Linked DNA regions of Caenorhabditis elegans. The protein of the gene in region 3 purifies or fractionates together with the protein of the main gene of each other region. This does not show direct contact. Each region holds a gene or a part of one and is shown on either strand. Other genes may lie near its edges.

Region 1 (6,849 bases), on a different chromosome or scaffold from region 3:
AAACATCGGAAAACGGAAAATTTTTGTTGTTCGGTTTAAAAAATCAGAACTTTTTTTTTTCAGAAAAGAAATTTGATCAGATCTATATAATTTTGACCTATCCGTAGATCAAATAAGTTTATTCTGCGCGCGGTAAAAATTGAATTCTTTTTCGTTTCTTTTCTCCTTTGTCCCAAATTTGGTCCAGCTCTAACTTTTTTTCTCTTTCCCTGGTTTTCCCATGTTTCCCTTCCATTTTGCACTATGTATTACGCTTTTCATTAATTTTCATTTTCAGATTATGGCTTCTTCCTTGCGTACTGATCCAGCCTTCCTTCGCACATGTGTTCTCTACGAGGTGTTCAAGCTGAACACATTTTCTCAGGGATTCGCTAACTTCTGCAGCACGTTCGGAAACGACATCATGCATAATCGGGAATTCGAGTTCTGGCACAGACGTTTTTACGACGGAAATCACGATTTGGGTCTTGAGATCAGCTCACAAAATGCCATTGACCACGAGCTCGAACGTGCAAAGAATGGGCAAATCCTGAGATCGGATCCGTCACGTTCTGAGAAGAAAGCAAAGCACTTGGAGGTTTAAAAAATTTCAAATTTCTCGATTAACTCCTTTACTTTTCAGTTCATTACTTCTCCTCTGTGCAAAGATCCGGAATTCGTTCGTTCTTGCGTCCTCTACGAAGTTTTCAGTCTGAAAGACTCTACCCAAGGATACAAAGATTTCTGCGATGCTCTCGGAAACGAGTCTATGGGCGTCAGAGAGTTCGACTTCTGGTGGAATCGATTCTACAATGGTGATCATGATTTGTGTCTCGATATGACTGCCGCAGTCACTTTGGGAAGGCAAATATATAATAAGCTTCATCAAAATAAATTGTTAGTTTTGTAGCTCCGGACAAGACGATGGCTTCACAAATGATGGAGAGGCTGAAGAGACTTCGCAGCTTCAACGTGTTTCTGGAGATTCTGTGGAATGGTAGGGTTCTGGGGTTGAATGCCCTAATAATTGAGAATTTCCAGAAATACTTGCAAATTTATGATGATTACGGTGATTTTTCGGATGAGGAGGAGCACGTGCTGAAGATGTGCAAATTCGGAGAGCCTGCTATCAGAGAGTTCATTGTCGCGAACTTTTCGGCTGAAGAGATCGTCGATTTCAGATCTCAAGTATGTTTTCAAAAAGCCTTCTCACAATAAATGTTCCAATTTTCAGCTTCACGATAATCTGGAAGAATACGAAGAGAAGAACAAGCCATCTCTCATCAAAAAGCTCGTCGGAAAGATAAAAGGGATCGGCGCTCGGAGAGATGATGACTCGGATTCCGAAGAGGATTCGGAAGAGAGCTCCGACGAGGACTAAAATCATTCTTGTGTACAACCCAAACCTACTAACCCGCACATTATTTTCTGAAATAGCTTGCCACAATTGTAAATAAATATTAGCGCCTGTAATACTCTTGTAACTGGAAGAAAGTTCATTTAAGAAAATATCAAAAATTAGAACAACTTCTTGAATGGATTTCCTTGTTGCCCGCCGAGTTTGCTCTGAAAATGGAGAGACTACTGGAGCTTTATTAAAAAGGTATTCAACTAACCAAGTTCTCAATCTTCGCCTGAAGCTCGACGATTTTCTTCTGCAAGTTGTCCAAATCACCACGAGACTCCTTCAATTTCTCCAAATTCTCCGACTTTTGCTCATCCGAAACTTCCGGATTGTTGACCTGCTGCTCATACAACTGTTTGGCCGATTCATAACCAGACTTGCTCGATTCATAGATCTTCTTAATGTTCTCCAATCGAAGTTTTTCATTATTAAGAATCTCGGGAAACATTTCTAGGAATCTGACAAGTGAGAATAACCAAAAGAATGTGAAGAGCTGGCAACAATGCCTACATTTTATGCTCGAAATCTGAATATTTGCACAATTTACAGCTTTTCCTCTAACAATTCCATTTTATGTGTTTACTCTTCACGAGTCAACAGAGTTCGAACGGTTGTCTGAAATTCAGGATAGAATGCGCAGAGATTGGAACAAAATGACGGAAATCGACGCTTTCAATCGCTTCTACAATGTTACAGTTCTCTCCAAGCTGTTGAGAACAATTCACGAAGGCTTCCTCGAGTACGACCCATGTAACTGAACAACTATATTCTTTTCGAGCAATTTATTGATGATCAAGATGAAAAAGTGAAGCAATAAACAGGGTTGGATGGGGTGATTGAAAAGAAGAAAAGTTCTCACGGAGAACAAATTTAGAGCTGTCCGCAGTCGGCGATGAGGCACTCGGACTTTGGAGTTCCGGAGCTGCTTCCGTTGCCCTCGACCTTGCTGACGATGTCCAATCCTTCGACGACACGTCCGAAAACGACGTGCTTTCCGTCGAGCCAGGCAGTCTTGACGGTGCAGAGGAAGAATTGAGATCCGTTGGTGTTTGGTCCAGCGTTAGCCTGAAGAAAAACAATGAAACTTATCAGCCAGTGGATAACAGTTAAGAAACTAGATAATGCTTCTTTTCTATCAGTTTATGCTGTCTTTCAATCTGGCTAGGCAACATAACTTACCATGGAAAGGACTCCTGGTCCGGTGTGCTTCTCCTTGAAGTTCTCGTCTGGGAACTTCTCTCCGTAGATGGATTCTCCTCCAGTTCCGTTCCCGCGGGTGAAGTCTCCTCCCTGGATCATGAATTCTGGGATGATACGATGGAACTTGGATCCCTTGAAGTGGAGTGGCTTTCCGGACTTTCCGACTCCCTTCTCACCAGTGCAAAGAGCACGGAAGTTCTCAGCGGTTTTTGGAACAATATCGTTGTAGAGCTGAAAATAAGATTTAATTTCATGAAAAAAGATCAGTGTTTTGTTTACCTCCATAACGATACGTCCGGTTGGTTTTCCGGCGATGGTGATGTCGAAGAAGACTCTTGGGCGGCTCATTTTCAGGTAGGGTAATCACTAAAATGCTTGAGTTATAGTTGAGAAATATGTATGAGATAGGTATATCTACAGAGGTGCGGCAAACACGCTCTGCGGTAATAGAGCGGGAATCAATCAAAGTTAAAAATATAAACAAAGCACCATAAGATACAAGGAAGAAGCACACGGATGAGCTATATACTGAAATGGAGTGAATTAGCGCACTAAAACAGAAAATTTTAGGCCCAACTAAATTAATTTTCCTGTTGGGCCTAAAATCTGCCGAAAGACGTGATTCAACAAGGATTAAACGACAGTTGCACATCAAAAAAGTTCTTAAATAATTTTCAATTGATTTTAATTCATTTTAATAAGCGAAACTATAAAAATTCTGACAAAATCAACAAATTAGGCGACGAAAGAGAGAAGAAATGAGCCGTTCGCTTCTAGAATTTTCCGACGTAAACAACAAAGTCCGCAAAAGTGTCTGCGTACCCGACACCCAATCATACGACATGCGCCATATCTGACGACACTTTCGCTGTGTTTCCCGCCTTTTGTCAACACTTTCACCGTGCGCCTGTGTTTTCAAATGATCGTACACAAAACAACAGAACGGCGCCGAAATTGATAACAATTTTTGTAGGCAATAAAAGATTACATTGAAAAACCGGTCATTGATATCAGTTCGATCATCACCACGGTCTTCACGAAAAGAAGGAGAAATATCGAGATGATTTAACATTGAGAAACATTGAGAACATTTTAAATTGCTAAATAGATCACAAATTAATCCAACAGTTTTTCATTTTGTTGAATGCTTTCGAGATCGATTGAGCTAAATATGAAGCTCTGCATGTGACGGGTATCTGCGAAGCGGTTCGTCAAGATTAGCTTTGCTTATCCGCTAAAAAATAATCTTTTCGTACAAGGACAAAATAAAATCTGCACAAAATACATCGTGATGTGCTAAAAATGGTTAATGTGAAAGTCCTAGAAATAGACCAATAAACTTTATAAATTTTGACTGGTCTCGAAGCCATTTAGTGTACTGTAGGTGAGAGCATTGCTCAGCTTAAATTGTTTGTTTCAAATTCTTCTTCATTGTTCAAATTAAATTTATCACAAGATAAAATGTCTGGAAAAGACAATAAAGGATCAATTCGTTTTGAGATTCAAAATTTTTCTGGCTTGGCGAAGGCGACGGAGCACAAACCAGTGCAAATTGGACACGTAGAATGGTTAGTGAATTTTAATGAAACAAAAAATGTTCTAAATTATTTAAAATATTATCTTTTAAGGATTCTTGGAGCATTCACAAGCACTTCCGACGCTACGAACAATGCTAAACATCTCGGAATTCACCTGAAATGCAACGAGGAACTGCGCAGCAACTTGTGGTCCTGCGATGCGTCAATTCGTTTTTCACTTCTGAGACTCAATTCAAACGAGGATGATGACGCGTTTTCGATGGAGTTTCAGCAAAAGTTCGACGACTTGAACAAGATTGTGGTGGTCAACAATTTTAAAAATTGGGAGGAAGCCATCTGCTACGATAATCGATTTGTGCTCGATAAGCATGCCGTTCTTGAAGTCCAAATTACTGTCAACAAGATTGCCGGAATTCATGAGAGGATTATCGAGACTTTCGATCAACCCAAGGAACATCTTACCGATGTTGTGCTGGTGCTTGAAGGAAAACATGTCCATGTTGGCAAGCAAGTGCTCGCAACGAGCTCGCAATTCTTCCAAAAAATGTTCTATTCGAATTTCGCCGAAAAGACACAGGCTGAGATCAAAATCGATGATGTGACCCACTCTGAGTTTATCGATTTGCTCAATGTGATCTACCCCACTCACATGCTCATTAATAGTAAGTTCTTTTTTTTATTTGAGGCTTGGAATTATTAACGGATTTTCAGGTTCCAACGTGTCTCACTTGCTCAAGCTGAGCGATAGATTCGCGGTGCCAAGAGTTCTGGAAAAGGCTGAAACGTTTTTGATTTTGGACCAAAAGACCCACTTGATCGACAAGCTGAAGTTCGCCGAAGTCTACAGACTCTCAAGGCTTCAAAATGCATGCCTTTCGCAATTGGAGACCAGCGAAGATGTTACTGCGTTGAAGCATCACGAAAATTATAAATCTCTCGATCATATAACCTACAATGCGTTGCTTCAGAAGCTCATTGATCTTTTGGAAGATTAGCTCCAAGCTTTGTTGAATTTGTTGTTGATAAATTCTGTTGTTGATTTCAGTTTTCAAAACTGCAGATTATTTTTTGTTAAGGAGAAGGTAAAAATACCGCGAAGAACTGTTAATTTTTGATTGGTTAAAAAACTCAAATTTAAACTACCACCAAAAAGAAGAATGTAAGCACGCTCTGCTGATGAAAGAAAACCTTATTCAAACTTCGCGGTCTCACAAATTATCAACGGAGCGAACATTCTGACCCCGCCCACAAATCGAAATTTCTCTGCCGCTCTCCATTTCGGTCCCATTTTTTGAATTTTCATGCGAATTCACTGTTTTTTATTCAGATTTTTTATCGATTTTCGTTTAAATTATGTAATTTTTATGATTTTTCAGTAATTTCCCTATTCTTGCCTCAACAATGAGCCGCTCAAAGGTCTTTTTCGACATCACCATCGGTGGTAAGGCTTCCGGACGTATCGTCATGGAGGTTTGTGAAATTTTGGCTATTTTCATCTTCAATAAATAAATTTTTTACAGCTTTACGATGACGTTGTCCCAAAGACCGCCGGTAATTTCCGCGCTCTCTGCACCGGAGAAAATGGAATCGGAAAGTCTGGAAAGCCACTCCACTTCAAGGGATCCAAGTTTCATCGCATCATCCCGAACTTCATGATCCAGGGAGGAGACTTCACCCGCGGAAACGGAACTGGAGGAGAATCCATCTACGGAGAGAAGTTCCCAGACGAGAACTTCAAGGAGAAGCACACCGGACCAGGAGTCCTCTCCATGGTAAGCAAATCGTCAGCTGAATCTGTTTGAAGTTCGAGAAAATGTTTTTTTCTGCTCAATTTGGGAAAAATATCACTGTTTGTTCTCCGAAAAGAGGGAAAACTGAAGATTTCTAAATGTTGCTTTTCCGGAAATTGTCGTATCTGTGAGAGACGCAGACATATCTCACAGCACGTTGTGTGTAGGATGGAGTGCTGAGCCGTTGTTAGGAGAAATTGAATGATTTATGAGAAAGAGCAGCTGAATGTATCAGTCTCAAAAAATATCAGAATTTTTGTCTGTCTCGAAAGTAATATTTTCAACATTTCAGGCTAATGCTGGACCAAACACCAACGGATCTCAATTCTTCCTCTGCACCGTCAAGACCGAGTGGCTCGACGGAAAGCACGTCGTTTTCGGACGTGTCGTCGAAGGATTGGACGTCGTGAAGGCTGTCGAATCCAACGGATCCCAATCCGGAAAGCCAGTCAAGGACTGCATGATCGCTGACTGTGGACAACTCAAGGCATAAATTAATTGCACCCGAAATCTCCTTCATCTCTTGATTATATATTTTCAGTATTCAACTAATCCATATTTTTCTCATAAACCTCAGTTATCCCCGATTGTTCCTTTGAAGAAACCCAGGTCTCATTGAGAAAAAAAAAAGAAATCAGCTCAGACGTTGCGCATATTTCCATCTTCTGGCGAAAGGCGCGACGTTGGGTCCCGCCTTTTCAGGCGACATCACAATCCGATCGCCTCGGCCACTGCACAAGTCATCGATCACCGCTGAGGAGTTGAACCCGCGTCTGTTGTTTGAAGACGGCGCGCTTTACCACTGAACCACTCGGTCGCGAATAGTAGTGCGCCGTTGTGTACCTATAAAAGTGTGCGTAGGCAAGCAGAGAGGAATAATGAAGCGGAGAGTTTCAGAACCGGATTTCAGCTTTATCTAATACTTGAATCTACATGC
Region 2 (7,338 bases), on a different chromosome or scaffold from region 3:
TCGAAAAATTCCCCAAAAATTTTCAGTACGAACCGCAATCGAATATTGATCGTCTGGCACAAAGACCCGTTCTACCACAATGTCCACGTGAGTTGCGATACAAATGCGCTCCACTGCACACTGTTTTGCAGTGGAGCGCATCGGCTTGATTTTCAATGGCCTAGAAATCTCGGAGAAACTTAAGCCATGTCTTCTATTTTCAGGGGAATGGGAATGGGCGTGTCGAAACGGAGAATGCATAGCACATTATGACGTTTGTGACGGGATTACGCAGTGCACCGACGGGTCCGACGAGTGGAATTGCGAAGCGAGGTTAGGTTGCAAACACGCTCCAATGAGAAATTGCTCCACGTGGTGCCATTATGGTTTGATCTACAAAAAATGCGGGATTTTTTTGGCCAAAAATATGTGACGTCAGCACGTTCTGAACCATGGGAAATCAGTTGAGAACTCTGCCGCATTTTTTGTAGATCAGCGTAGATCAAGCCGCAATGAGACACTCTGACACCACGTGCGGCTTGTAAAAATCAATAAATAGTCATTGCTGTGCGGTACATTTTTTCACGCTTGTTACGAAATAAAATTTATATTTTATATAGCATTTTGACGACATTTTCCTTATCAGTAAAATTATCAAATTTTCCACCCAATTCCTTGGCTCGTTTTTCCTCCAGTTTCCACTTCCTGTTGAAAAAAAAATCCAAAAAAAATCGATAAAATGGCGGATTCGCTTCTCTCGAATATTCTTCAACAGGAGATCACCGATTTTCCGGAGTTATTCGATATGGGGTTTGTGTACACAAATATGTAGAGTCTATTGCGCTCTATAAAAAATCAATAAAATCGATATTCCAGGGGCGGAGCGCCGATGGCTCGTGAGGGAGTTGCTCAACCACGACAGACAAATGTGCAGGCCACCGTAGCGGCGGTGAAGGAGACAACGACGATAACCGCTGAATCTTCAGGTATTATTGATTTTTCTTATTTCGAAGACTATATTACGCGAACGCGTATTGCACAACATATTTGACGCGCAAAATATCTCGTAGCGAAAACTACAGTAATTCTTTGAATGACTACTGTAGGTCGATTTACGGGATCTCGATTGTCGAAATGAATATATTTTCGAATAGCCACAGCGACATTCAATTTAAATTTTTAATTAATTTCAACAAATCAAGCGGCCGTAAATCAACAGAAGCGCTACAGTAGTCATAGTTTTCGCTACGAGATATTTTGCGCGTCAAATATGTTGTGCAATACGCATTCTCAGAATTTTGTGTTCCCTGTAATACTACGCCATACGAGCAAGATTCTGTTGAACTAGGACACACTGCATCTCACGCGCAAACTAATCCCAAACCTCAAAAAAACACTATATTTCACGCGCAATTGTTGCAAACTTTCAAATTGAAAGCCACCATATTACACCATATCTTACGCGCAAATTTAATTAAACTATGTAAAACCACGTGGCGCACCAGAGTGTCTCATTTCGGCTTGATCTACGTAGATCTACAAAAAATGCGGGAGAAGAGACGCAGAGTTCTTAACCGATTTCGCACAAAAATTCCCGCATTTTTTGTAGATCAAACCGTAATAGGACAGCCTGGCACCACGTGTGAAACAACATATCTTTTTTGAAAATTTTGCAGTAAATCTCATGGTATGCGCCAAAAATTAGCCAAACTTCGCAACACACCGAATTTTACGCGCATATTCATCAAAAACCTTTTTTTTTTAATTTTCAGGCACCGTCACAATCCAATACTCGCACATTTTCTTCGCCTTTGTCGCGTTTTTCGTTCTCTCGGTTGCCGTAGTCGCTGTGATTCGTCGGCGATCACGACAAAAATCCGGATTTCGAAATCGACGTGGCGGCGGGCACGGGGGCCCGAGCATACTGCAACAGGATTCCGACGAAGACGATATTCTAATCAGTTCTATGTATTCTTGAATTTCGTTTTTTTTTTGGCACGTGGGGTGCCAGGCTGTCCCATTACGGTTTGATCTACAAAAAATGCGGGAATTTTTTGCCCAGAAAAATGTGAGAACTCTGCGTCTCTTCTCCCGCATTTTTTGTAGATCAGCGTAGATCAAGCCGCAATGAGACACTCTGCTAACACCACGTGTTTTGGCTGTACTACTTTTCTCTCTTTTCTCACTTTTATCTCGGGTTGTGTCATTGAATTATGAAGAAAAAAATAAATCAAATACATAAAAATTAATGGCGATTCAAATTCTATAGAGCTCCGGTTTCCTTGAGCAGTGCGGCGAGTTTTCCGTTCTTGGCTCCGGCCGCTGTGTCGTCACCGCCGCCGAAGAACTTGCCGTTGATGAAGACACGTGGCACCGAGCGGGCTCCGGTTAGAGAGCCAAGATAATCCTGAATCTCATTGCAATCCTTGCGCTCGTCGATTTCGATCCATTGCAGAGCGTCGGGCTTCACGTTGACCGATTCAAGAGCAGCACGAGCCTGAAAAATTGGGGTTTTTTAATTTTTCTCAAAAAATTATTTTAAAAAATGTATCCGAGACTCAAAAATTTTGCAAAAAAAAGATTTTGAAAATGGATAATATTTTTCTCAATTTTCACGGATTTCTGGCTTCCCTCATAAATTGAAATGGAAGAGTTTTTGCCGAACTAGGCCATTTGGCTCGGCCATATCTGGGGTAGATTTACGGCGCGTTGCGTGTCGCGTCGCGGCTCGATTTCAGTTGTAAAACTAAATGTATTTGTCCGTGTGGAGTACACGACACTTTCCCACGCGTTGTCCGGCAGCCGATTGTCAATGGAGCGCGAAAAATTCAATGAGGAATGCCAGAACCCCGTGACAGATTTTTTCGCAAATTATTGATTTTTGCCGTTGTCTTCAATTTTCCGAAAATTTCTCAAAAAAAATCGCTACGAGACCCAAAATTTCTGCATTTTCAGAAAAATACAGAAATGTTTGATTTTTAAGTTAAATTGAATTTGCAAAATTTCATACTGGTGCAACTGCGCTCTGTTGCACACGATTTTTTAAAATAATTTTTTTTGGAATAAATTTTTCAAAAAAATTGGGAAATTTCGCTGAAAATCCAGAAAAAAGCAAATTTTTTAGGACAAAATTGTTCAGAAAAATTTTTTTTTTTTTTTGATGACAAAAAGCAATTTTCGAGGAAAATTCAAATTTTTCAGAAAAATTGTGTTACCTTATGGCAGTACGGGCAGTACGATTTGCTGAATACGACAACTTTGGAAGATTGGAGAAGTCCGTCGACAAAGGCTTTTGACATGGTTTTTCTGAAATTTTTTGGTGTTTTTTCTCAAATTTTTGTTGAAAAAAAAAGGCAATGAAGTATAAGAAAAGCGTAGAGACAATTTGAATTTGAAAAAAATTGGGGAAAAAAAAATTAGAAATCACATTATCATCAAATAAATAATATATATATATATATATTAAATTTACAAAAACAAAATTCTGCGATATTATATAAAAAGGGAAAACATAGGCTTTAAAAGCAGCAAAAACTGAAGAAAATGATGATAAAAATGAGAGTGGAAATAGTGTATGGAAATGAGAGAGTGGCGAGAGAAAAAGAGAAACGGCGGCGACAATGACGTAAGAATCATGACAAATAGTGTTATTAGGCGAGGAAAATTCGGGAAAAAATACAGTTGTGAAATACAGAAATTTATAAAAAAAATTTTAAAGAAATTTCGAAATTACCGCCGTGCGGTGGAGCACAAATGCATTTTTGATATTCGATTAAAAAAAAATTTTTTTTTAATTTTTGGGCTTTCTAAAGCTAAATGATTTTTTTTAACTTTAAGGAGTTTTTAAAAAATTTAAAAAAAGGCCTTGCAAATGCGCTTCATCGCAAATTTGATGGTAGAGATGAAAAATTGGAGAATTTGAAATTTTCACGTGGTGTCAGAATGCCTCATTTCGATTTGATCTACTTTGATCTACAAAAAATGCGCGGGGACTGATTTCGCATGGTTAAGAAAGCGCTGACGTCACAACATTTTTGGGCGAAAAACTCCCGCATTTTTTGTAGATCAAACCGTCGATGGGACAGCCCCTGGCACCACGTGAATTTTGGGAAAAAAAATTTTTAAAAGGTTTTTTTAAACGCTTTTTATTTTAGACAAATCACTTTTTTTTAATTTGAAAATTAGTTTTTTTGCACCAAAAAAATTTCAAAAATCGGAAAATTTTGAATTTTTGGGATCACTTTTACTTAAAAAAAAACTCGTTAATTCGGAAAATTTTACGATTTTTCTGAAAAAACTCTGCAAATGCGCTCCATCGCGAATTTGCTGGTAGAGATGAAAAATTGGAGAATTTGAATTTTTGGCGGTACTTTTTGCCGAGTTTTTGAGAGAATTCATCAACTTTTCACGAAAAATTGATATTTTTAACGCTTTTTCTGATGAAAATTGCAAAAAAAACCTTTAAAAATTGGGCTAATAACACTTTTTTCAATTAGAAAATTAAAATTTTTGGGATAATTTTTTCCTTTAAAAATCCCATTAATTTGGAAAATGTTACGCTTTTTATGAAAAAAAAATTCAAAAAAAAAATTCTGCAAATGCGCTCCACTGCAAATTTGTCAACCATGTGAAATTTTAATTTTTAGGATAATTTTAGGATAAATTTAGGCTAATTTTAAAGTCGAAAATCCAAAAAAAAAAAAAAAATCAATAAATTATTCCTTCTTCTTCATCTCATCATCTCCACTATTTCTTCCAGTGATCCCTTTCAAAGTACTCATAATTTTTTTGAAAATGCCACGTGGCTTCTCCTCCTCTTTCGCCTCGAATGGCACAATGCCGACGGAAAACGCTTCGAGCGATGGTACAGTATCCTCAATCCACGTACCCGTGACGTCACGGCGGGAGAAGATCGGGGTGCCGATGAATTCCGAAATTGATTCTCCCTGTGGAAAAATATTGTTATTTTTTGGAAATATATCAATTTTTGAAATATATCGACTTTTGAATCAGGTGGGTGGGCGGAAAACGATTTTTTCCGGCAAATCGGAAAATTGCCGGAATTGTAAATTTCCCGCAAATCGGCAAACTGGGAATTTGCCGGTATTCAACAAAATTCCGGCAATCGATTTTCTTATCCGTTTTTTTTTTTTGGAAAAATATGTTTTCTGAAAAGAAAAAATCGATAATCTGGAATTACATATATTGAAAAATATTGATTTCACCGGAAAAAAAATTTGGAAAAATTTTGGAAAGAAAAAATCGATTTTTGGACAAAAAACCTTGAAAAAAAAATTGGAAATCGATATTCTGGAGATATATATTTTTGGGAGAGAAATCGATGAAAATTTCAATTTTTTGGAAGAATATTGATTTTTAGAAAAAAAAAATTTTTTTACTGAAAAAAATGATTTTTTTTTTGAAAAATGCCGTTTTTTGAGAATATAGAATTCTTGGATTTTTTTTTTGATTTTTAGAAAAAATACCTTTTTTTCTGGAATAAAATTTAGATTTTATTTTGGAAAAATATAGCATTCTAGAGAAAAATATCAATTTTTTATTGAGAAAATTCAATTTTTTCTGGAAAAAAGTATAGACTTATAGAGAAAAATGTGTATTTTATTTTATTTTCAGGACATTTTTTTTTTTTGGAAAAAAATCGATAATCTATAAAGAATATCGATTTTCTGGAAAATATTTATTTTTGGTTAAAGGATAAAGATTTTTAGAAACGTTTTTTTTTTCAAAAAATAAAAATGAACTTGGAAAAAAGTTCATTTTTATTTTATTTTTAATATTTACTTTTCGAAAAAAACTTAAATAGTTTGGAAAATATTTATTTTTGGTTTAAAAAAAAAGTTTTTTTGAAAAATATCGAATTTTTTCAAAAAAAAATTGGTAAAAGTTGAAAGGATTTTGGAATTTTGGAAAAAAAACAGGTTTTTAAAAAAAATATCGATTTTTTTAAAATTTATATTTTTGGAAACCTTTTTTTTTACAAAAATCGATTGGAAAAAAATTTTTAGACAAAATAATTTAATATTTGCAAAATGAAAAGAATATCGATTTATTTTGAAAAAAGTATTGAATTTAGAAAAATATGGATTTTTTTTTTTGGAAAAATCGATTTTCTGGAAATTTTTTTACTGAAAAAAAAACTGGAAATATATAGATTTTTCGGAAAGTTATCGAATTTTTTTGGAAAAATAGATTTTCTTGAGAAAAAATTTTTTTTTGGAAAAATCAATATTCTGGAAAAAATGGTAAATGGCAAAATGATTGATTTTTGGTAAAAAATCGGTTTTTTTTTCTTTCAAAATTACCATTCTCCCAACGGGCTCCGGGGTCCCAGGCTTCTCCTCGACTGCCGCCGCCGCCGCTGCCACCTCCGATATGGTTTGATCTACAGTAACCTCCTTCTCCACCTTCTCTGCACTATCTCGTTGTTGTTGCTCCTCCTCCTCTTTCTGCTGTTCTCGGATCTTCCGAAGTTCGGATCGCTGGTGACGTTCCTCACGAATTCGGATTTTCTCGGTGCCCTCGTGATCTCTGGCAACTTCCTGGAATGACATTTTTTTTTAAGTGACATTTTTTTGAATTTCAGAAAAAAAAGTGTTTTTTTCAAATTTTTTCCAAAGCAAATGATTTTAGAGAAAAATCTATGAAAATTGGAGTGAAAATTAGACAGAAAATTGCAAAAACCAAAAAAATCAGAAATCTTTTGGATTTTGAACCTTTTTTTTGTGATTTTTAGCTTTAAAAAAAGTAGAAAAATCGGCAAAAATTTGTTTTAAAAAAATATTTTTTCAAGTTTTTATTTGAAAAACGTAAACTGAAAATTATAGCCAAATTATTGATATATTTTATTAAAGGTGGACTAGCGCCAGTGGGGAAATTGCTTTAAAACATGCCTATGGTACCACAATGACCGAATATCATGATAAAAAAATTCAAAAAAATTTTCTAAATTTTATATGATTTTTTGAAAATTGAAAAAATCCCAGTTTTTGCCTAATTCCTATTTGAATTTCCGCCAATTGGATTTGTTCGATGGAGCGCGCTTGCACGTTTTTAAATTTATCTATTTTATTTTTTGTTATTTTCTACCGATTTTTAAGGTTTTCGGTGTATTTTTGCTTGAATTTTAGAGAAAAAGTCAAAATAAATGCAAATTTTCGATTAAAAAGCACGCTTACAGGCGTAAAAATGAAAAAGTACCGATTTTAAACGATTTCGAATCTGAATTAATTAATTTCACTGATTTACGCCTGTAATCGTGTTTTTCAATCGAAAATTTGCATTTATTTTCACTTTTTCTTTAAAATTAGAGCAAAAATACACCGAAAACATTAAAAATCG
Region 3 (8,739 bases):
CCGCCGATTTTTAATGAAAAAATGACTGAAAATCCGGAAAAAATGACCAAGAAACGGGATTTCCACAGATTTTTTGCCGATTTTTTAATACTAAAATGGCTGAAAATCTGTGAAAAAATGACCGATAACCGGGATTTTTTTGAAATTTATATTCAAAAAAAAAGATTTCTTTTTCAGAAGTTTGGTGTTTTTTTTTGTGAGAAAAATCAATTTTTTTTTTGGCAAAATTGACAAATTTTAAGCTAATTTTAGTGAAAATCTTGGATATTAAAATTATTTTTTTCACGTACTCTGGCCTGCAAGGCGAGCAAATTCTCCACAGAAAATTCGACAATCGGACGATGATCCTTGTGGAACGTCTCCGCATTATTATTGAGCTTTTTGAGACATTCCAACGCGTGCATGTGCTCTTTAAATGCCACAAATCCGAATCCCGAAGATTTGGGCTTTCCATCAGGTGTCAGACGCTTCTTGTCCATCCAGACACGACATTCGGTGATCAGAGCTCCTGGTGACGTGAATTTTTGAGCCAGTTCTTTGAGCTTCACGTCGTTGATTTTCTGGGGGAGATTGTGAATGCAAAGACGGACTGGCGAGATGAACCTGGAATTTTTAGAGGTTTTTGCGGAAAAATTGGGGAAAACTGAAATTTTCAGTAGAAATTGAAAAAAAACTGGTGAAAAATTGACTTTTTATGGGATTTTTCCAATTTTTTTCTTCAAAATAATTTTTAAAAACATTTTGGAATGGAAACTATATTTTTGGTCAATTTTGCAGATAAATTGAGTTTTAAAACGAGAATTTTTAATTTTTTTTTTTTTTGGAAAAAATTGAATTTACAAACGAAACTCCCAATTTTTATCCGACTTCCTACTGAAGACTGGTGAGAATTCATTTTTTCTGGGATTTTTTGTAACTTAGCCAATTTTTTGGCCAAAATTAGCGAAAATATCGAATATTTAGTGATTTTTAGCAATTTTTCAAATTTTGCTCAATAAGAAAACTATATTTTTGGTCGGAATTTTTCGATTTGCAAGAGTAAAAATCACTAATCTTTGTAAATTTCTTGCAATTTCAGAGAAAATGAGATTTTTCTCAACTTTTTGAGGGTAAAAATGAACATTTTAGCGAAAAATTCCAATTTTTGACGTGAAAAATGCGCATTTTGAGCGAAAAATAGCTAAAAACTGGATTTTATTCAAATTTGAAGAGATAAATTCCTTTTTTTCTACAAAATTTCCCTGTTTCAATTTTAAAAAAAGCCAATTCTTCGCTGTTTTTTAGTGAAAAATGGCTAAAAATCCGGGAAAATGACCGAGAAACGGGATTTTTTCGAAATTTCATATTTTTTCAGGGCAAAAATGGCTGAAAATCCGAGAAAAATGACCAACAAACTGGATTTTCACAGAATTTCACCGTTTTTTGGTGAAAAAAAATAGCTGAAAATCCGGGAAACATGACCACAAAACGAGATTTTTTCGAAATTTCATAGTTTTTTAGTGAAAAAAATGGCAGAAAATCCCGGAAAAATGACAGAGAAACGGTTTTTTTTTCAAAATTTCATTGTTTTCATTGAAAAAATGACTGAAAATCAAGGAAAAATGACCGAAAAACGGGATTTTTTCGAAATTTTACCGTTTTTTTTTTGTGAAAAATTGCTGAAAATCAGGGAAAAATGGCCGAGACACGGGATTTTTTCGAGATTTCGCCGTTTTTTAGTGAAAAAATTACTGAAAATCAGGGAAAAATGACCGATAACCAGGATTTTTTCGAATTTTCATTGTTTTTTAGTGAAAAAAATGGCAGAAAATCTGAGAAAAAATGACCGATAAATTGGTTTCTCACAGAATTCCGCCGATTTTTAATGGAAAAAATGACTGAAAATCCGGAAAAAATGGCCAAGAAACGGGATTTCCACAGATTTTTGCCGATTTTTTATACTAAAATGGCTGAAAATCAGTGGAAAAAATGACCGATAACCGGGATTTTTTTTGAAATTTCGCCGTTTTTTGGTGAAAAAATGCCTGAAAATCCGGAAAAAATGGGATTTTTTTCGAAATTAATCATTTTATAGTGAAAAAATAGCGGAAAATTAGAGAAAAAATGGCCGAGAAACGGAATTTTTTTCGAAATTTTATCGTTTTTTAATGAAAAAATGGCTGAAAATCCGGAAAAAAATAACCGAGGGACGAGATTTTTTCGAAATTTCAACGGATAAATTTAATTTTCACATAATTTCACCGTTTTTTTTAATGTGAAAAATGGCTGAAAATCAAGTAAAAATGACCGAAAAACGGGATTTTCACAGAATTTCGCCGTTTTTTTTGTGAAAAAATGGCTGAAAATCCAGAAAAAAATAGGATTTTTTTCGAAATTAATCGTTTTATAGTGAAAAAATAGCGGAAAATTAGAGAAAAAATGGGTGAAAAACGGAATTTTTTTCGAAATTTCATAGTTTTTTAGTGAAAAAATGACCGATATTTTTTTGGAATTTTTTTGAAATTTTGCCGTTTTTTAGTGAAAAAATGCCTGAAAATCCGGAAAAAATGGGATTTTTTTCGAAATTAACCGTTTTATAGTGAAAAAAATAGCGGAAAATTAGAGAAAAAATGGCCGAGAAACGGAATTTTTTTTCGAAATTTTATCGTTTTTTAATGAAAAAATGGCTGAAAATCCGGGAAAAATAACCGCAAAACGAGATTTTTTCGTACCTTCGTCGTTTTTTTGTGAAAAAATGGCTGAAAATCCGGAAAAAAATAACCGAGGGACGAGATTTTTTCGAAATTTCAACGGATAAATTTAATTTTCACATAATTTCACGGTTTTTTTTTAAATGTGAATAATGGCTGAAAATCAAGTAAACGTGACCGAAAAATGGGATTTTCACAGAATTTCGCCGTTTTTTTGTGAAAAAATGGCTGAAAATTCGGGAAAAATGACCGAAAAACGGGATTTTTACAGAACTTCGCCGTTTTTTTTTGTGAAAAAATGGCTGAAAATCCGATTTTTCTTCAGGAAACCCTCACATATTCGTGTTCTCGAGCTTCTTCCTCATCGCCTCAGCAATTCTCTCCCTCTTCGCCGCATCATCCTTACTCATCCCGGCCGCCGCCGCAGTTCCATCACGAATCAGTCCAAATCTGGCCAATCTCAAATTTCTCTTGTCTTTTGGCACCTTGGTGAGCTTCTCCTTCTCCATATCAGCCGCCTCTTTCCTCGGAATCGCCAGATTCGCCTTCACAAGCCTATTATCAATAATAACACCGTCTTCGACACCCTCAATACAGTTGGAAGCCTCAATTGGTGTGGAAAAATGGACGAATGCGGTTCCCTTGGAGTGGCCACTGTCCTTGTACTTGCAAATGATGGCGAGATCGATTTTTCCGAACTTGGAGAGCTCTTCCTTGATGAGCTCTTCCTTGGTGTCGTAGGACAGATTTCTCAGGAACACCACCTTCCCCTCTGTGATAGATTCGTCGGTTTTGAGCTGGGCTTTTGGATTTTTTGGTTTCTTAGCTGGTTCTTCGTCATCCTCGTCGTCTTCGGAAGCTTCGGAAGCTTCGAAAGCTTCTGATCCATCCTCCGAACCTTCGGATTCCTCCTCACCCTCTTCCTCATCGAATTTCTTGCTCTTCTCCTCCGGCTTCTCGTCCTTCTCCACTTTCACCACTTTCTTCAAATGCTGCTTCTCCTCATGAGCATTCGTCTCGTAAGTGTCCTTATCCAGCGCCCAATCCGCAGCCACCGACCTGCCGAGCACCTTATTCGTGTTGAAAAACTCGCGGCCCTTCTCCGCGTCGGCCTTCTCGACAAACTGGATGAAGCCGAAGCCTGCGCAAGTTTTTGGGTCCTTTCTCGACGGTGGAAGCACGATTTCCACGAATTTTCCGATATTTGAGCATAAATTCTGCAGATCCTCCTTTTTTGTCTTGAATGGAAGGTTTCTGATGATAAGACGCCACTCTTTCAGCTTTGCCTGCTCGAAACGCTTCCGAATCGCTGATTTTTCACCTTCAGTGGCTTCTGGCCTCGCACGTTTTTGGAGAGGCTCGCGGTTTGCTGAAAAAACACGAAATTATTTTAAAAATTGATTTTTTAAAATTAAAATCAGGGAGTTCTTACGATTTCTGTGCTCAAATTGCTCTGTTTCAGCGTATTTTTGCTCCCCATCCTCCTCACAATCATTGTAATTTCGTTTTTGGCTGTATCCGCCGTAGCCTCCGCCATAGCCTCCTCCATAGCCTCCTTCATAACCTCCACCAGAAGAAGAATTATACCCATAACTCCTGAATCCACCGCGACTCATTTCTGAAAATATAATTTTTTCTAAGCAAAAGTAACTTTAAAACTTGAAAAATACACTGGAAAACGTAAAATATTTGGTGGAAAAACGAAAAAACGAAAAAAATAAAATAGAAAAAATGGCCGAGAAGTGTGCGAAACCTAGGCCGGCGGCCGGCAGGGACTCGGCCACCGCAGCGGGAAATTGAAATTTAATATATTTTACTATTAATATTATTATTTGAGGTTTAAATACGCATAAGAAGAACAAATTTACTGAAACACAATTTTATTAAGTGAGGGCCTGCCCTAACTTGAAAAAAATAAAAACACAAATTAATCCAAAATTTCAAAATCGCCGATAAGCTTGAAGTTAAGCTTCAACTCCGTGGATCCGTCATCCGTTTTCAAAATCTGATTTCCTTGAGAATCCACAATGCCGGTGTAGGGTATCGTCTTGAGACACTTGAAGCCATGTTTTTCCAGAAGAACCTGATTTCCGAAGGAACACGTTTCAGAGAGCACACCATCAATTGAATATTCGTCAAGTTTGGCTTTTGGCATATTGGTTGTGAGCATTTTCGTAGCGATTCCACGTCGCTGATACTTTTCCGATACACTTGAGACTTCACGGTGGAGCACTACATTTATGTTTTGGGGAGCTAGATTCCAGAAATCTTCGTGGCATGTGTTGAGCATTTTGACTGAAAGATTATCAAATTTTGGTGGATTTTGCTGTACTTCAATTAAAAGAAACGTACTAAAAGCAGTCATATTCTCTGTCAACCCTTCATCAACTTCATAATCAGCACCCTCCACAGCATTATCATCTCGTTTCCAGGCAGAATTCACCAGGCAAGCCACAATTTCTCCGCTCTGTGTAGTGACTACTGTTGAGAATGGGAATTGGAGGCATCTCGCCACCAGCGATTCGTAGAGTACCTCCGCTTCAGATTTGATTAGTTTTAGGGCCTGGAGATGAAATAAAATTAGGCCTAGTTCAAGTTTGGCAAATTCGGTAATTGAAAAATTGTCGGTTTGCCGTTTTGTCGGAAATTTTGAATTCCGGCAATTTTTCGATTTGCCAGAAATTTTGAATTCCGGCAATTTGTCGATTTGCCAGAAATTTTGAATTCCGGCAATTTGTCGATTTGCCGGAAATTTCAATTCCGGCAATTTGCCGATTTGCCGTATATTTCAATTCGGGCAATTTGCCGATTTGCCGGAAATTTTAATATCCGACAATTTGCCGATTTCCTGGAATTTTTCAATTCCAGCAATTCGCCGATTTGCCGAAAATTTTCAATTTCGGCAAATCGCCAATTTGCCGAAAATTTTCAATTCCCGCAAATCGCCGATTTGCCGGATATTTTCAATACCGGTAAATTGCCGATTTGCCGGAACTTTTCAATTCCGGCAATTTTCCGATTTGCCTGAATTTTTCAATTCCGGCAATTTCCGATTTTCCGGGAATTTTCAATTCCGGCAATTTGTCGATTTGCCAGAAATTCTCAATTCTGGCAATTTGCCGATGTGTTACTGTAGAAATACTGCGCTGGCCTTATCTGTACATGTTAGGCCATCGTGGCGGGACCCACTTGGTTCAAATAAAAAATAAAAATAATCTGGATGGGTTACTGTAACTCACCCTGGTACACGGCTCCAGCGGGAAATAGTGCTCCAGTAGAAAATTCAAAACATCAGGCGCATCTGACTTCTTCGCCAGACGGTAGATAAGTTCTTCTGGCATATTTTTTCTGAAATTTCAAAAAATTTACAGTGACTTTTGTACTCATGTCGATAGTGTCCACGTGTTCCATCACATTTCTAGAGAACAAAAATTGGCAAGGAAATTATGCTCCGCCCATATTCTGCAAGTGGTAGGACGGTGGTGATAACTGGGAAATTTGAGAGCAGAAAAAAAAATTTTGAATCGACAATTTTGAAATTTACGAAAAATGTTACCAAATCAGGACTAGACAAGGACATACATTTAAAATTTTTAAACTAAATTTAAAAAACGACAAGCCGACGTCAATATTTCTGTGGCGTTGCTTATCTTTTTAAATAATAATTTAAATTGAAAAACAAAACAAAATTCAAAACTGTCGAGCTACAACTGTTAATGAAGGGTGTTCTAACTTTACTGTAAATGAATTACCATCATTGCTATGATAGTGTGAAACTAAATAACTTGAAATTGCATTTGTCACTGAAAACTAGCTCTGAAAAAGTATAAAAATGTTTTTTCAAACTCTAAAAAAATTCCCACGGTTTTTATTTTTATGGCGTCTGAATAGTCTTTGATTTTTTTTTCTTTTTTAACAATGAACACAATAATGTTTCGCGACTGATGTTTTTTGCGTAAATAGGTCTGAAATCATCAGAGTCGAAGAAGAAAATAATTTTCAATTCCAATCAGAGATCAGTCACAGGTAATCGGAAATATCAAGGATCAGAAAAATCTCACCAGTTAATATTAATTTAATAATGTTAATTTAATACTAAGTTCTAGGATATTGTTGTTTCCAAAATTTGAACAAAGCGCTGTAATTTTTGAACTTCCTGTCTAAACTTTAACGTGTCAATCAAGAAACTTTAATTTTTGACCTGAGATCAATGTTTGATTATTTTCGACTTTTTGCCAGTTTGGCCATGCTCTTACAATTCAACAAAAAAATATTCAAACTGCCACTCACAGAGATTAAGAACCAGACATTAGTTGATATGAAGTGCACATTGGTATAGTATTTGTGGACGATCACTGTTTCAAAAACCAATTTTTTTGCAGAGTTTTGGAGAGACAGGTGATAACTTTTTGTTTTATAAGGTGATCTCTGAGTTTGTTCACCAAAACAATATAGAACTCAGGGGTCAGATGGCAATTGCCGGAAATTTCAATTCCGGCAATTTGCCAATTTGCCGAATTTGTCGGAAGTTTAAGGGATTTTTATAAGACGAAAACACTGTGCCTTTTTGAAATTTTTTGCTGTTTTCTTTAGATATTTTCATAGAATTTACTTACTTTTCAAAATAGATATATGAACATTGATAGGATGCGTACAACTTTGCTGATTAAAAATGAAATTCTGAAATTTCCAAAAAAGTGCCAAATCACAATTTGCCGAAAAATTTTCGGCAATCACAGTGTTTCTGGCAAATTCGGCAACTCGGCAATTTGTCGGAAATTTTCAATTCCGGCAATTTTCCGATTTGCCGGAAAATTCTGAAATTCAAATTCTAACATTTTCAAGCCAAAAAAAAGTTTTTTTCCGGTCGACTTTGAAAATAAAGGAGAAAGTAGGTAAACACTGAGATTTCACTATTTATGATTTGGAGGTACTTCGTAATTTTTTTCTCTAAAACCTGGAAAATTGAAAGTTTTAGTGAAAATTTCCAAAAAACCACAAGGGACTATGGCATACAGGTGTTTTTGAACTATTTGTCTTGTGCTTTCAGTTTTATAATAAATTCGTGAACATTCCGGGTTCTAGATTCTGAATAACACAATAGTTATTTGCAGAAAATTAAAAGTCAAATATTGTACAGTCTCAACCTTTGTTCCACGTCCCTCTTATCTTTCTGGCAGACATTTTTTTCCCAAAAAAAATCCCCAATTCTGTCACATGCCACCGTTATCACTTTTTTGAATGGTTCGTTTCAACGTCGAGTCGTTTTTTTAACCAATTCCCAATTTACTGGATGTTATCAGTAGGGCGATCGAATTGGAAGGGTCTACAAAAAATAGAAAGTAAGAAAAAGGGAATAAGAGAATGAGAAATTTTCAGGACGAAACTGAAGTTGCCACATTCTGGAAAGTAGCAGATTTTGGGGGTTCCATTTCACAGGGTCCATTTCCCGATTTTTCGATTCTCTTGAAGTTGATCCGCATTCCATGGGATCCATCATCAGTCTCCACCAGTTTGTCCCCGTTACTGCTCACAATTCCCGAATATGGAAATTCCTTCAAACACTGGAACCCATTTTTTGCCAACAGAGTCTGATTGGCGAATGATGACGTGGCAGATACGATTCCATCTACGTTGTGAAGCCTAGCAGCCGACATGTTCCTGGAGAGCATTTTTGTGGCGATCCCCTGGCGTTGCCATGGTTTTCCGACGCTTGAGATCTCGCGGTAGACGACTAGGTTCACGTCTGATGGTGCGAGGTTCCAGAACTCGTCATGGCATTTTTGAACGATGGTCACTGCAAATATATACTTGAGAGCAGGGGTGTGCGGCACATTTTGAAATTTGTCGAGCTAGGCAAAGTCGGCAAATTTGGCGAACTTGATGCTTGATGATGTGGAGAACGGCAATTTGTCACCGCTTTGTTTGACATTAGCCGAAAATTTTCAACCTTACCAATTTTTATAAAATTAATGTTTCATATTGTTCCTACAGTTCACCGTAACTCACTAAATCTCTGCAGAGCCTCCGAGTATCCACTAGTATCATG

The links.
Region 1: the proteins of rbm-28 (region 3) and cyn-7 fractionate together in Caenorhabditis elegans (co-fractionation; one large-scale study listed by BioGRID). This does not show direct contact.
Region 2: the proteins of rbm-28 (region 3) and glrx-10 fractionate together in Caenorhabditis elegans (co-fractionation; one large-scale study listed by BioGRID). This does not show direct contact.

The regions. Positions count from the first base shown.
Region 1 is NC_003283.11:15,184,429-15,191,277, forward strand, and holds cyn-7 (Peptidyl-prolyl cis-trans isomerase 7), read right to left. Parts: upstream 2,951-6,849; 5' UTR 2,933-2,950; coding exon 2,864-2,932; intron 2,816-2,863; coding exon 2,564-2,815; intron 2,450-2,563; coding exon 2,255-2,449; 3' UTR 2,154-2,254; downstream 1-2,153. Other genes in the region: Y75B12B.1 (Mos1 transposase HTH domain-containing protein), read left to right, coding at 281-577, 623-843, 890-980; Y75B12B.3 (Transposase), read right to left, coding at 1,498-1,545, 1,596-1,832; bath-36 (BTB and MATH domain-containing protein 36), read left to right, coding at 4,046-4,152, 4,213-4,784, 4,834-5,117; cyn-3 (Peptidyl-prolyl cis-trans isomerase 3), read left to right, coding at 5,524-5,592, 5,643-5,894, 6,205-6,405. UniProt on the Caenorhabditis elegans protein: PPIases accelerate the folding of proteins. It catalyzes the cis-trans isomerization of proline imidic peptide bonds in oligopeptides.
Region 2 is NC_003279.8:1,045,543-1,052,880, reverse strand, and holds glrx-10 (Glutaredoxin-1), read right to left. Parts: upstream 3,286-7,338; 5' UTR 3,279-3,285; coding exon 3,195-3,278; intron 2,477-3,194; coding exon 2,243-2,476; 3' UTR 2,154-2,242; downstream 1-2,153. Other genes in the region: Y34D9A.8 (Low-density lipoprotein receptor domain class A), read left to right, coding at 27-87, 204-312, 856-965, 1,752-1,957; Y34D9A.7 (PSP proline-rich domain-containing protein), read right to left, coding at 4,695-4,925, 6,303-6,539.
Region 3 is NC_003280.10:14,852,828-14,861,566, reverse strand, and holds the start of rbm-28 (RRM domain-containing protein), read right to left. Parts: upstream 4,309-8,739; 5' UTR 4,307-4,308; coding exon 4,123-4,306; intron 4,060-4,122; coding exon 3,027-4,059; intron 604-3,026; coding exon 291-603; intron 1-290. Other genes in the region: R05H10.7 (aralkylamine N-acetyltransferase), read right to left, coding at 4,618-4,985, 5,043-5,253, 5,930-6,031; R05H10.1 (aralkylamine N-acetyltransferase), read right to left, coding at 8,066-8,487, 8,700-8,739.